Lepisosteus oculatus: one gene and its partners. The protein of the gene in region 2 purifies or fractionates together with the protein of the main gene of each other region. This does not show direct contact. Links are inferred from orthologs where the notes say so. Each region holds a gene or a part of one and is shown on either strand. Other genes may lie near its edges.

The links.
Region 1: the proteins of zc3h18 (region 2) and sf3a2 purify together in Homo sapiens (affinity purification with mass spectrometry; 3 studies listed by BioGRID and IntAct, with this or other methods). This does not show direct contact. The link is inferred for Lepisosteus oculatus from reciprocal best matches to the Homo sapiens genes ZC3H18 and SF3A2.
Region 3: the proteins of zc3h18 (region 2) and RNA-binding protein with serine-rich domain 1 purify together in Homo sapiens (affinity purification with mass spectrometry; 3 studies listed by BioGRID and IntAct, with this or other methods). This does not show direct contact. The link is inferred for Lepisosteus oculatus from reciprocal best matches to the Homo sapiens genes ZC3H18 and RNPS1.

What each region holds. Positions count from the first base shown.
Region 1 is NC_090724.1:8,584,871-8,588,621, reverse strand, and holds the start of sf3a2 (splicing factor 3A subunit 2), read right to left. Parts: upstream 2,392-3,751; 5' UTR 2,302-2,391; intron 1,867-2,301; exon of another isoform or gene 1,789-1,866; intron 1,028-1,788; 5' UTR 884-1,027; intron 230-883; 5' UTR 165-229; coding exon 1-164. Other genes in the region: plekhj1 (pleckstrin homology domain-containing family J member 1), read left to right, coding at 2,637-2,730. UniProt on the Homo sapiens protein: Component of the 17S U2 SnRNP complex of the spliceosome, a large ribonucleoprotein complex that removes introns from transcribed pre-mRNAs.
Region 2 is NC_090715.1:14,060,602-14,064,352, forward strand, and holds the start of zc3h18 (zinc finger CCCH domain-containing protein 18), read left to right. Parts: upstream 1-1,123; 5' UTR 1,124-1,182; coding exon 1,183-1,314; intron 1,315-2,672; exon of another isoform or gene 2,673-2,677; coding exon 2,678-3,421; intron 3,422-3,751.
Region 3 is NC_090714.1:5,335,134-5,338,884, reverse strand, and holds the start of RNA-binding protein with serine-rich domain 1, read right to left. Parts: upstream 2,354-3,751; 5' UTR 2,246-2,353; coding exon 2,244-2,245; intron 1-2,243. UniProt on the Homo sapiens protein: Part of pre- and post-splicing multiprotein mRNP complexes. Auxiliary component of the splicing-dependent multiprotein exon junction complex (EJC) deposited at splice junction on mRNAs.

The DNA of each region.
Region 1 (3,751 bases), on a different chromosome or scaffold from region 2:
TCGTAGGAGCCCAGGTGGTTCTTCATGAAGTAGGGGTCCTTGTTGATGTCGATGGTCTCCAGGGCCAGCTGCCGCAGGCGCTCGCGCCGGTCCCGGTTGCTCTCCGACGCCGAGGCGACCCCCCCGCTCCCCGTCTTCCCCCCCGGCCGGTGCTGGAAATCCATCCTGGCGGGCGCGCGGGCTCAGGGACACGCTCTCTCTCGCTCGGCCGCGGGTAAAACACCGGGCCCTGGGGGGGTGGGGTGGGGGGAGACACTGGTCAGACTCTCACTGCTCCACCAGTCCAGCACCACCAACAACAACAACAACAACAACAACCCACCACACAGATGGGACCCCGCGGCGCCCCACTCAGGAAAAATAATAATCACTCATTGCACTTCTATAGCGCTTTTCTGGACACTCCACTCAAAGCGCTTTACAGGTCATGGGGATCCCCTCCACCACCACCAGTGTGTACCCCCACCTGGGTGATGCGCCAGTCCGCTCCCCACACACCAGCTCTCAGTGGGGAGGAGAGCAGAGTGATGAAGCCAGTTCAGAGAGGGGGATTATCAGGAGGCCATGATGGGTAAAGGCCAGGGGGGAATTTAGCCGGGACACTGGGGTAACATTTTTCTTTTTGAAAAATGTGATGGGATTTTTAATGACCACAGTCGGAACCTCGGTTTTACTTCTCATCTGAGGGATGCATTAGGGCCTACTTGTCCCACTAACACCTCTTCCAGCAGCAGCCTCAGCTTTCCCAGGAGTCTCCCCTCCAGGTACTGGCCAGGCTCACACCTGCTGGGCTCCAGTGGGGCTGCCAGCTGGGAGCCGCAGGGTGATATGGCTGCTGAAAAAAAAAAAGACACCTCCTGAAAAACGGACAAGGTGAACTCACAATAAACACGGCTGTGGGAAAACTTTCCCCACAACAGGGACCTCCGGCAGAGCTGGGGGCAGTTCCTCTGCTCGCTTTCCACAGCTCTCCACTGGCCACTGGCGCAGGACTGGAGGACGACAGACGATGACTTGACGATCGGGCCTATAAATACATTGAATTAAAGTTTAATCCACATTTACAGCAGCGTTTTAATCCGCGGTTAACGTTCAGGGCTCTGAACTTCAAAACAGAGGATCGTTGGAACCAGAGAACCAGCAGATGCTTATCTTATCACTAAGAAACTTCATAAGCTTCAGAAACCCGCGATTTAATGGTGAACTATCGGGGGTTTGAGAAGGAGCTGCACAGCCCCGCCAGAACACCAACAAGTAGTGATTAACGAGTAATTAATGGATAACGCAACTTAATACATCTGTAACGTACCGTAATTAATTAAAAACCGTGGACAAACAGTTTAAAGTCGATGCCTTTCTCACACTTAATCTAAAACATTACACGCAGACGTTTCGGTCACTGAATAATTTTTAAACCGGAAAGGTCACAAATAGTTACGTGAAGATCGAAGGGCGCTAATATTGATTACAGAGAGGATTTGTTAATATCTTATTTGTTAAAATGAAGTAATTTTATAATTCCTAAAACAAAGGTTACATTGTAAGAACACTCCCTTATTAGATAATTACAAATCTCACAGTGAAATGTTATTTTTAAAAAGTAACAACGAGGTGTCCCGAATCTAGAAACAAATTTATCTTAAAAGCTACCAAACTTAGCAAACCTTAAATAGCATGTACAAGCACCCAAACTATTCACATACATTTACAGTTGTAAAAATGTATTAATTTCATTTTTAAAACAAGTATTGTAGACATTATAAGTAACATTTCGAACGACTACCTTACCAACAACACACGCTTGTAACTTCCGGTCAAACAGTACATGCGCAGGGAAACCAAACTTTATTAACAATCTCTTCGCTGTGACATGACCAGTAATTCAAAATAACTCTTCATTTAATTTTGTTAATGCGGCATATTCGGACAATTTTTCAAATACAAAACCTGTCATTTCAGAAACTGTCCAGTTGTGTATGTTTTAAAAATAATTGCACCAAAAACGTGTTCAAGATCACATTTGTCACATGACATTTAAAATTGACTACATGTCCCAGAAATCCTGCCACGCAAACACGACCGTAGAAAGCGTTTGGCAATCTGGGATTTGTAGTTTTTTCTTAATGCGAATTAAGGACGGAGTGAATACAATAGCAATTGGTTTACACATTTATTAAGAATAAAAAAAGAGAAAAATAAGACTACGGCAGCCACTACGAAAAATTAGCCACGAGTGGACGAGACTATTAAGACGTAGTCTGTATTTTACTATGGCTGGTATTTAACGCGGAAAACCCTCACCGCTGACCACCGTTTCCGGGTGCGGAGCGCAGCTGTGTCGCAGGGGAGGGTCCGGTCCGGCGGTGGAAAACCGTGACCCCGGGGTCTGTCTGCCTGTGAGGCCGCTAGACTCGCAGGGCGGAGCGGTGGGCAGGTGTGAGAAGCTGCGGAGAGAAACGCGCAAGACCCCGTCGCCTGGTAACGCGAGTCCGGCTGTCCCGAGTGGGACAGGGATCGCCGAGATCCGGGTGGGTGTGTGCGTGCGTGTGGCAGCCGGAGCGGACGGCGGTCGCCGGTTTCCCGGGGCGATGCCAGGCCGGCGGTAGCGGCGCGGCGGCGGAGGAGGAGGAGGAGGAATGCGGTTTAACGAGAGGGAGCTGGTGTCGCTCAGCCGCCAGCCCTCCGAGAGGGCGGCCCAGCTGGGCATGCGAGGACCCAAGAGAGGCGACGGTACGGACGGGCACACGGGGCTCTCCCTCCCCTCCCTTCTCCCTGCCGCTCCACGCGTGTCTTTTCCGTGTCCACTTCCCTGTCTGTCTTCGTCTCCCTGCCCTGCTGTCGCCTGTCCTTATCCGTTAGGTCGCAGCTGTACTCATGAAACGGTGTTTGCTTATAACTGGGACTCGGCGCTCTGTCTCTTTCTGTCCTCTAACTGGACCGGTTTCACCTAACCGGACATGAGGCTCATTTCTACTAACCGGTGTGCTTCTTGTCTTCGCATTTGTTTTCCCAGCTAGACTGTTTAGTCTCTTTGTTTTATCTTACAAAAAAAAAAATCCAGGCTAAAACCGTAACCTTGCCGAGGGAAGGGTATGAAGATGGAAGGAATTACGATGTGTAAAATGTTTCCAGGAGGTCTGCAGCTCGGAGATGCTTTCTCAGAGTCTGCGGCCCCCCGAGATACACACCATTGTTTTCTCTTTCTGGCACAGAAAGGGAGCTATTTTTTAAGGAAGCGCCCGTCTGCTGTCTTATCGCAGTTATTTATAGCCGCTGCCCCCCCGTCTGGCCCTGTGGGAGAGGAACAGAAAAAGTGAGGGAGAAGAACAGAGACGGAGACGTGCTTTCTGCTGCCCTGATCAGACAGACAAACATCCTTCCCCACAGTGACTAATCTCAGCCCAGCATTCCCACACCTACCAGACCCAGAACAGCTCCCGATCCTGCTGGGGAGCCAATGCAATCGAGCTGCAGCCTGGTGTGTGTGTGTGTGACACACAGCGAGCCTGTGTCATATGTGAAATGGCCAAGCTGTTGTGTTAATTGTCATGTTTGGTGGCACTGTAACCCATCGGTTGTGCTAGTGAAGCTCGCTGGAATGGTGGACCAGCAGAAGGACAGGCCAGAGAGAGAGAGAAGGAGGAGGAGGAGGTCACAGTTGCCAGGGGAAACCGGTCTGGTCCAGTCCGCCTGGCTCCAGCCCGCGGGTCACATCTTGAGACATGGCCATGGACACCTAACTTGGCGATAC
Region 2 (3,751 bases):
CAGAAGATAAAATAGGATCTATTTTTATTTTTCTCATGAGTTCACCTAAAGAAAGTTATCAGAGTAGAGGTTATGAATTCCCAATTTGAAGGTTAAGAGGTCAGCTGTTAGCGCACTGCTGTTGTATAAGCTTAGGCTCTCAGGCCTAGTTCAGTCTGAAATGGCCCACTGAATAAATTAGTACAAATATAAGTCACGTTGGACGAAAGTGTCAAATTGTGTTTTAAGTTTCTAGTTAAAAGTTTAATTAAATCTCAAATCAAATACATATTTCAAGTTCTTGGGTGAAAAAATACATTTGAAGAATTGTTATCGTTGTTAAAAAATGTTGTAAAATGTCCAAAAAAAAAAGGGTTTCGACAAGAAACATACTGTATACCGAATACTTCAAGTGTCGTTCACCTGGGATACCTCAAATTCCGCCCGTTTTCAGCGGGACTGCACGGAAATTTGTAAATGAGGTTTGATCTCCATCTAGTGGTAGATGTTGGTATCACATAATCTCCAAACTCCTGCAGTCGATAGTATGGGCGGTTGAATTGAAGGCACATAGAAATGGGATGCATTTTCCGGTGGAAAGTCAAAGAGCCTGTCCAACTCTGAAACAGATATGCCGCCTTCAGAGTGACACCAGCTGCTTTTTGATATTTCAAAAATTGGAAGCAAAGGTTAGTTTTAAAAGTTAGTCGTGGAAAGATCTGAGACAGCTCTGTAATAGAAGATAACGTCTCTTTCTGAGCAGAAAGTCGAGTGCACATAGTGAAACGTTTGAAAACTTCCAATCCAAAAGGCCAATGAGGTTGTACAAAAGCAACATCTGTGGTTAGACGTTAAAAGGTCATTTTCACGACACTCACGTTCTAAGCAATGTAGCTATTTTACACATTTTGTTTGAAAATTAACATCACCGACGCTTCTCCTGTTAGTTTATTATGTGAACAAGTTATTTTGATTATGATTGCTGGCTGCCCTAATTTTGGCGATAACGTTAGTTAAGAATAAAAACTAAACAAAAGCCATTGTAATACTGGCAATCATATAAAGCATATCCAGATTTGATCTTCGGCGAATAACAAAGTACCGCCTGGCACCCTTAACGTCCTAGTCCTCTGCGCCGTCTGACGCCGTCTTGCCTTGATGACGTAACGGCAATGGCCGCTCTCACTGTGTAGAGCAGGGTTTATGAATCTCTCCGATAGAAGAAAAAGCAATCCGAATATTTATTACTGTGTACAGCTTTACACTTGGACGGGGAGAGACGGGGTAGTAGTTACGATCACACTCCTGTCTCAAAAGACGTACAGGTTGGCAACGGTAACAGTCAGATATCTGCTATTTTTTTGTGATTATTTTTTTGAAGGGGGGAGGTCTGTATTGTTGATGAACAGGGAAGCATGGCTGCTTAGCAGATTAGGAAGGGGGCTAAAACCAAGAAGGTATTTTAAGGGGGGAAAGTAGTTGTTGTCCCGGAAAGGTAAGTTAAATCTGTTTTATAGGGATTTTAGGCGCTCTCATGATGCATCTGCAGAGACGGTGTTCTGCCTGGTTCACTGAAGGCAGTCGTGGGGCCTGCTGTCTTCCAAGCCGCTATATTCTTCATTGATTCACTAATTTATTTGGTGGCATAATAGCCCAGCGAGTGAAGTTGTAGGCAGGGGGGTAAATTCATAGGAGTGCGATTTGATGGTTTTAAACGAGACAATGATACCTGATCCTGCACTGTATAGAAAGACAATTTAAGGAAAACGAAACCCTTGCTATCAGGTTATAGACTAGAGTATTTATCACCTAAACCTATTTATGCAGGCCAATTTGTTTTAGTTCTTTATCGAGGTGTTTTGTTTGGATTTATGTGCAAATTCTAAATTGTACATAAAATTGTACTTTTCGTTTTAGTCCTACTCAACGGACGATCGTATTTTTTACACAGGTCACGTAGTTTTCGCTTGCTAGATTACTTGTAGATCGTGGCTAGACACTAGAATGTCTCGTTCTTGTACTAATAAAATGAGCTATTAGCATTATTCTGCAAATCTCAACAAATGGGAATGCAGTAGGGTAGCAATTTTTTAGACAACATCCTATTCTCTTTTTATATGTGCGTTTTTTTAAGTTTTTCACAGTAATCTAAATGAAAAAATAATAGATTAACAATTTAGAAACTAAACAGCTATTCTCTATTGGTCATATATATATATAATAATTTACTTTTAAGCTTTGTTGTTAAGCTCACTTTCCTCAATGGGCAGGGCTACAGAGGAAGACATAATGTGATAAATAATAAGAAAAGTTGACACCTTCCTGAAAGTGTTTTTGAATCCCAAGTAAAGACTATTAAAAGAGCAAATAAATTCACTTCATTCTTTAAAAGAAATTAACCAACTCCCACCTCTTACCAGGCTCTATACTACTTGAGTCTGATCCTGGAGTAGTAAAATTAGATGCTGCATTAAATAGTATACTAGTGACAAATGTCAAAAATTTGGTAACCGGATTTAATTTTCTGATATATCTGACAGGGGGCTAGAAAGTATATCTGATCTGTGGAGAACTAATCCTCAGTCAAAGGCTAGGCTTTAAAATCAGTGTTCAAATTAATTTGCTTTCCTTCTGATCTGTGTGTTTACAGTGTGACTTATAGGGTCTTTATTCTGCTCGTGTCTTCTCTGTAGAGCAGCCTCCAATGGATGCAACTGAAAGCCCCAGTCATGACAGACAGTCCCTGGAAGAGAAAGAGACCTCGGACAGCGAGATGCTGAAAGAGGACAGTCAGGAGGGTGGGGCGGAGTCGGACCTGGAGGATCTAGAGGACGAGGGTGGGGAGAGAGTGTCGGACCAGGAGGAGGAGGAGGAGGATGGGTATGGAGGGGAGCTGTGCCACGAGGTCCCGTCAGGTGCAGCATTGACGAGGGGGCGAGGGGTGAATTGCTCGGACGATGAAGAGGAGGAGGATCGAGTCAGCCAAGAGGCGAAGTCCCCCGACTCGGAGCCTGATCTGGGCCGGGAGAAGCTTTTGTCTTCCCCGCTAGCGGAGGAGGAAGAGGAGGAGGACGACGAGGGGGTGAAGGCAGCAGCTGCGGACAGCCGGGTAAGCGACCTCAAGGACGAGTCCTCGTCAGTGACGCGGGAGCTGGACGAGCACGAGCTGGACTACGACGAGGAAGTGCCCGACGAGCCGAGCGGCGCCGCCCCCGAGGATGAGGACGGGGACAGGGTGCCTGGGGAAGAAGGAGAGGAGGAAGAGGCAGACCCTGAGGATGAGGAAAAGAAGGAAAAGAGGAAGGACTCCCAGCAGCCAGAAAAGGTCACTGAGCCCAAAAGGGCAGAGGAGCCCAAGGCTCCTGAGAGGGGTCGGAGAGATTCCTTACGAGATAAAAAGAAAGATGACGACGATGGAGAGATCGATGAGGGAGAAATAGATGTAAGTGGAGAATCTCTTTTGTTTTAAGATCATCTTTTGTTCTGAACGTTGACAGCTCAGTGTTCTAAAGAGCAGGTGTTCATTTTATTTCCTAAATGCATTATTTTTCACCAAGTTTTGCTTTAAACGTGAACCTTCGGAGCAGATGAAGCTTCTGTACCCAAACTACTCTTTACCATGCTCAAGTAAAGAGCTTGTTTTCACACTGCAGATCTGGAGCAGCAACATGTCAGCCAGACTGCACTCTCCGGTCATTTTTATCCCTCGGCGTTTCTGTGTGGTGTTCCAGGGACCCCCAGATGATGTTCCCCAAAGCGAACTGGAGTCTTC
Region 3 (3,751 bases), on a different chromosome or scaffold from region 2:
TGTAATGCAGTTTCAAACATTCAGTCATCTGGAGGCAGCCAGATGCTACCTCTAAAAACCTTTTCCATCATGAAGAAATGTCTGTATAAATGACTAATTTAGACAGTATTATTTTACATGGCACAAAGTGTGAATATTTACTGTGTAAAAGGTCAGTGGTGTTTCGCACTCAAACTGTTCACACCCTGTGTTAACTGGAAATCTTCACCGCCAGTTAGAATAAATGACTTTTCAATAAACAGAGAAGAGAAACCACTGTCAAGTTTAACAATATTACATTTCACCATCTCACACTGGGAGAGGGAGAAAGACTTGAGGGGGAGCGTTTCGAACTGGACTGTAAGGGAAGGAGGGTAAAGTTCCTGTACTGTGTTCCTAGCAGAGCATCAGTGTGCACTGTCACCTTTCAGGAACAAGTGCTCTGTCTGTAAGAGGCGTCTGCCCCAAGGATCAAGTTATCAGGCAGTGAAGAAGCTCTTCAAGCCCTGAACTTCGGAAGGCCCAAGAAACAACACAATAGGGAGCCACTGACATCTTACGTGATCCTGTATGAACACAAGAGAGCACCAGCAAGTCCAACACTCTATGAATACTTTCAGGGACATGCTTAAAAGCTTAAAGCAGGAAATAGTAGCTTAATATGCTGAACTTCAATCCCATTATTTGAATAACCTTGCAAATAAACCAAACACCTACTCATACTACCCCCACCCCCCAAAAAATGGCTTTTTGTTAGTGTACAGTACGATCATTTCAGCTTTTCACACCTTGGCCTTTGTGTGGACACTCTCTCATTCCCACCTACTCAGTCCTCTGTTCTCCTGTGCCTTATATTCCAGTTAACTTCCTCTCTCACAACTGAAAATGGCTCAACAGCCAAAACATTGGTTCTTATTTCTACTTTTCAGCATGGAATAAACCGTTACTTGCTCCTTTTTTTTAGCCAAGACATGCACACTTAAACCAGCATGCTTCTCATCGAGCTAGGCCTGTCCTGCAACCCTCAGTAACTGAGCCCAATCTGGAAAAGGCTCAACTGGGCAAAACACACAAACAAACCTCCTTTTAAGTGGCAGCCCCACTAGTTCCAAAGACCATTCCAAGAGGGCTTAAATGTTTAATGTGGCAAGTTTGCAAATGCTAAAATCCAATGTTAAAAACCGAGCTAGAAAGGCGACACTAACTGGAGGAATATTTCAAAACATGTTCCAATACATAATGTTAAAAGCTTAAATGCTAAAAAGAATACATGCAAACAAAAACGTTAAAATGGATGGCAACACTATCGATATATAATTAAAATATGTGTACAACTATACACGGTATTGCTGTTTGGTCAGCACCTACGCATTAACCCATTTAAGGTAAGCACCGTACAGTGTCTTAACAGTTTCATATTCTTAAGTACAATTTAACAGACTGCGAGTGGCTTTAGAGAATGCTGCTCAGGGAAAATCTGTGCAAAACTCTGTTTAGGGACAATTTTCCAAGAGGCACTGAAAAACTAATTCTAAGCTCTCCATGCGCAAATTTCTAGGATAACCATTTGAATGTAGCGAGTTAAACCACGGTGTGTTTTTTACATTAAGCGAAATCCACTATATATATCTTAAATGATTATTAGCCCATATTGCGTAAATGGAAAACTTACTTAAATACGCACGATTTGGGGAGGGGGGTTATTATCTCAATTACCTTTATAGAGTTTATGTATTTGTTGATCCTTGAGCACATTAAGCCACATGGAGAGAATTCTGCATTACGTGAACTGTAAAGTAGAAATTTTGTGAGGTTTAGCTGAGGTTTGTGTACACGAACTACACAAACCTCACTGTGTACGTTAAATAAAGCCGTCGACAGTACAGAGACGTGTTAGGCTTTGTGTTCGTAAAGCTTTTAGAAACTGCCCTACATTTTCATAGACGAAGTTACAATTAACGTTTTATGTTCCTAGTTTCAGTGCATTTGTGGAAACAATCCAAACCCCCCGTTGTACTCGGCAAACGAACCCACTCGTCCGCCATTGATGTTTTCATTCATCTGTTCAAAGCTCTGCTTTCAAGCAACACCCCCCCCGCTCCAAAATCAAGCACAATCCCAACACCGCGACAGGAAATATCACTTCGAGATGCATTGCTTTCGACTAAATAATTTATAAAAACAAGATTCAGTGTCCTAAAACCGCTATAACATCGAGGATTGCATTAGATGGTTTCTAAAAAAAAAAACACACACAAACTTACATCTCCGCTCAGAAAGTCTCCCTCCGCGGCGGGCGCAGATTGATGACGCAGAAGCGGCCAAACTCGTCAGACTGTATCGCCGTGGTCTGTGCCGAGAACGTAACTGAATTTCCTCCTCAAACACAGTAACACAGGCAGCCCAAGGAGGTGTTAATAAGCGGCTGGGCACAGGGGGAGTAAATTGTAGGAGCTGTTATTTGTTTGGAGAAAAAGATGGCATGTTAAGTTTCAGCCCCATCCAAAACAATTCTAAAATACCGTTTGTAATAAATTTAATTATAATGGCACGTTATATACACAAAATGAAGTGGTCTGGGAAGAATCATATGTTTAAAGCATTTTAAAATGGATGTAAAGGAATATCTACAGACTATTTAAAAATGTAAAAATATGAAAGCAGTGGGGACGTTATCTTTGTTTAAACTTTTTTTCATAATTTGAATTTATTTTGTAATATATACCCCCTGACGATGTTTTTTTTGTCTTGAAATGTTATATGCACTCTTGCTTGTATTTGTATTTTTGTTATAGTTTATGCATAAATAAATAAAAATTATTTAAAAAACTTATAAACGTCCTGTATTACAAGACCATTGTACTGTTTTATGCAAAGTAAATTCGGAAACGTTAAAAAACCTGGAAATTGTTTTTTAAGGGGTACTATGTACTAAGTTGAACAACATTTGAAACTTTTGTTTCATTCATTGCAGACCCAGGGAATATTTGAAAATGTTTATTTTCACCTAAAATAATTGAACATATATACATTATATGTTTAAAAAACGTCATGCTTCAAGTGCAGACAAAAGCTAACAGTAAATTGTTTTCTTTGGTCAGTTAACTACGACACTGGGGTAAAAACGCAATCAGATTTACCCCTTCTAAACATTTCATAGATTGTAAATGACGCGCTTTTCAATTGTCTTAGCAGTCAAACCGAAACCGACGAGTTTGCACAACATCCACAGCAATCGGAATAAGTACCATTCAATACACATACGAAACACTTTTATACATATCTACATGCCTATAGACAACGATGTCTGTTAAAGGTGGATTCTGTTGTCAAACATTATACTTATTATAAGAGCTCTGCTCTAACTCGTTTGTGGTTATTATAATGCTAAGAGAATTTATGAAGACGTAAAAATGATTCAGAGATTAGAAGGTTGCCTTCTATTCAATTTAAACAAAATGTCTTTCTGTAATCCTATCTGTTCGAAACTTTCAAGAACTTCGACCATCTCCAGTACATGAAGATTGTCATCTAGCTTTGTCACTGGTTACCTAGAAAATGATATGATTGGCTGCTCAGATCCTTGTCTGACCAATTAGAATTGAATAGACGCCTCCTCTTTTTGACCAATAGAAACAGCTCTTTAGTATATAGATAGATAATACTTTATTTATCCCATAGAGAAACGGAGATAAACAACTGATCAATAGGAAACACAGGTACTCATATCCCCCCACCACAGCTGAGCTTTGTCCAATAGAAACTCCTCACC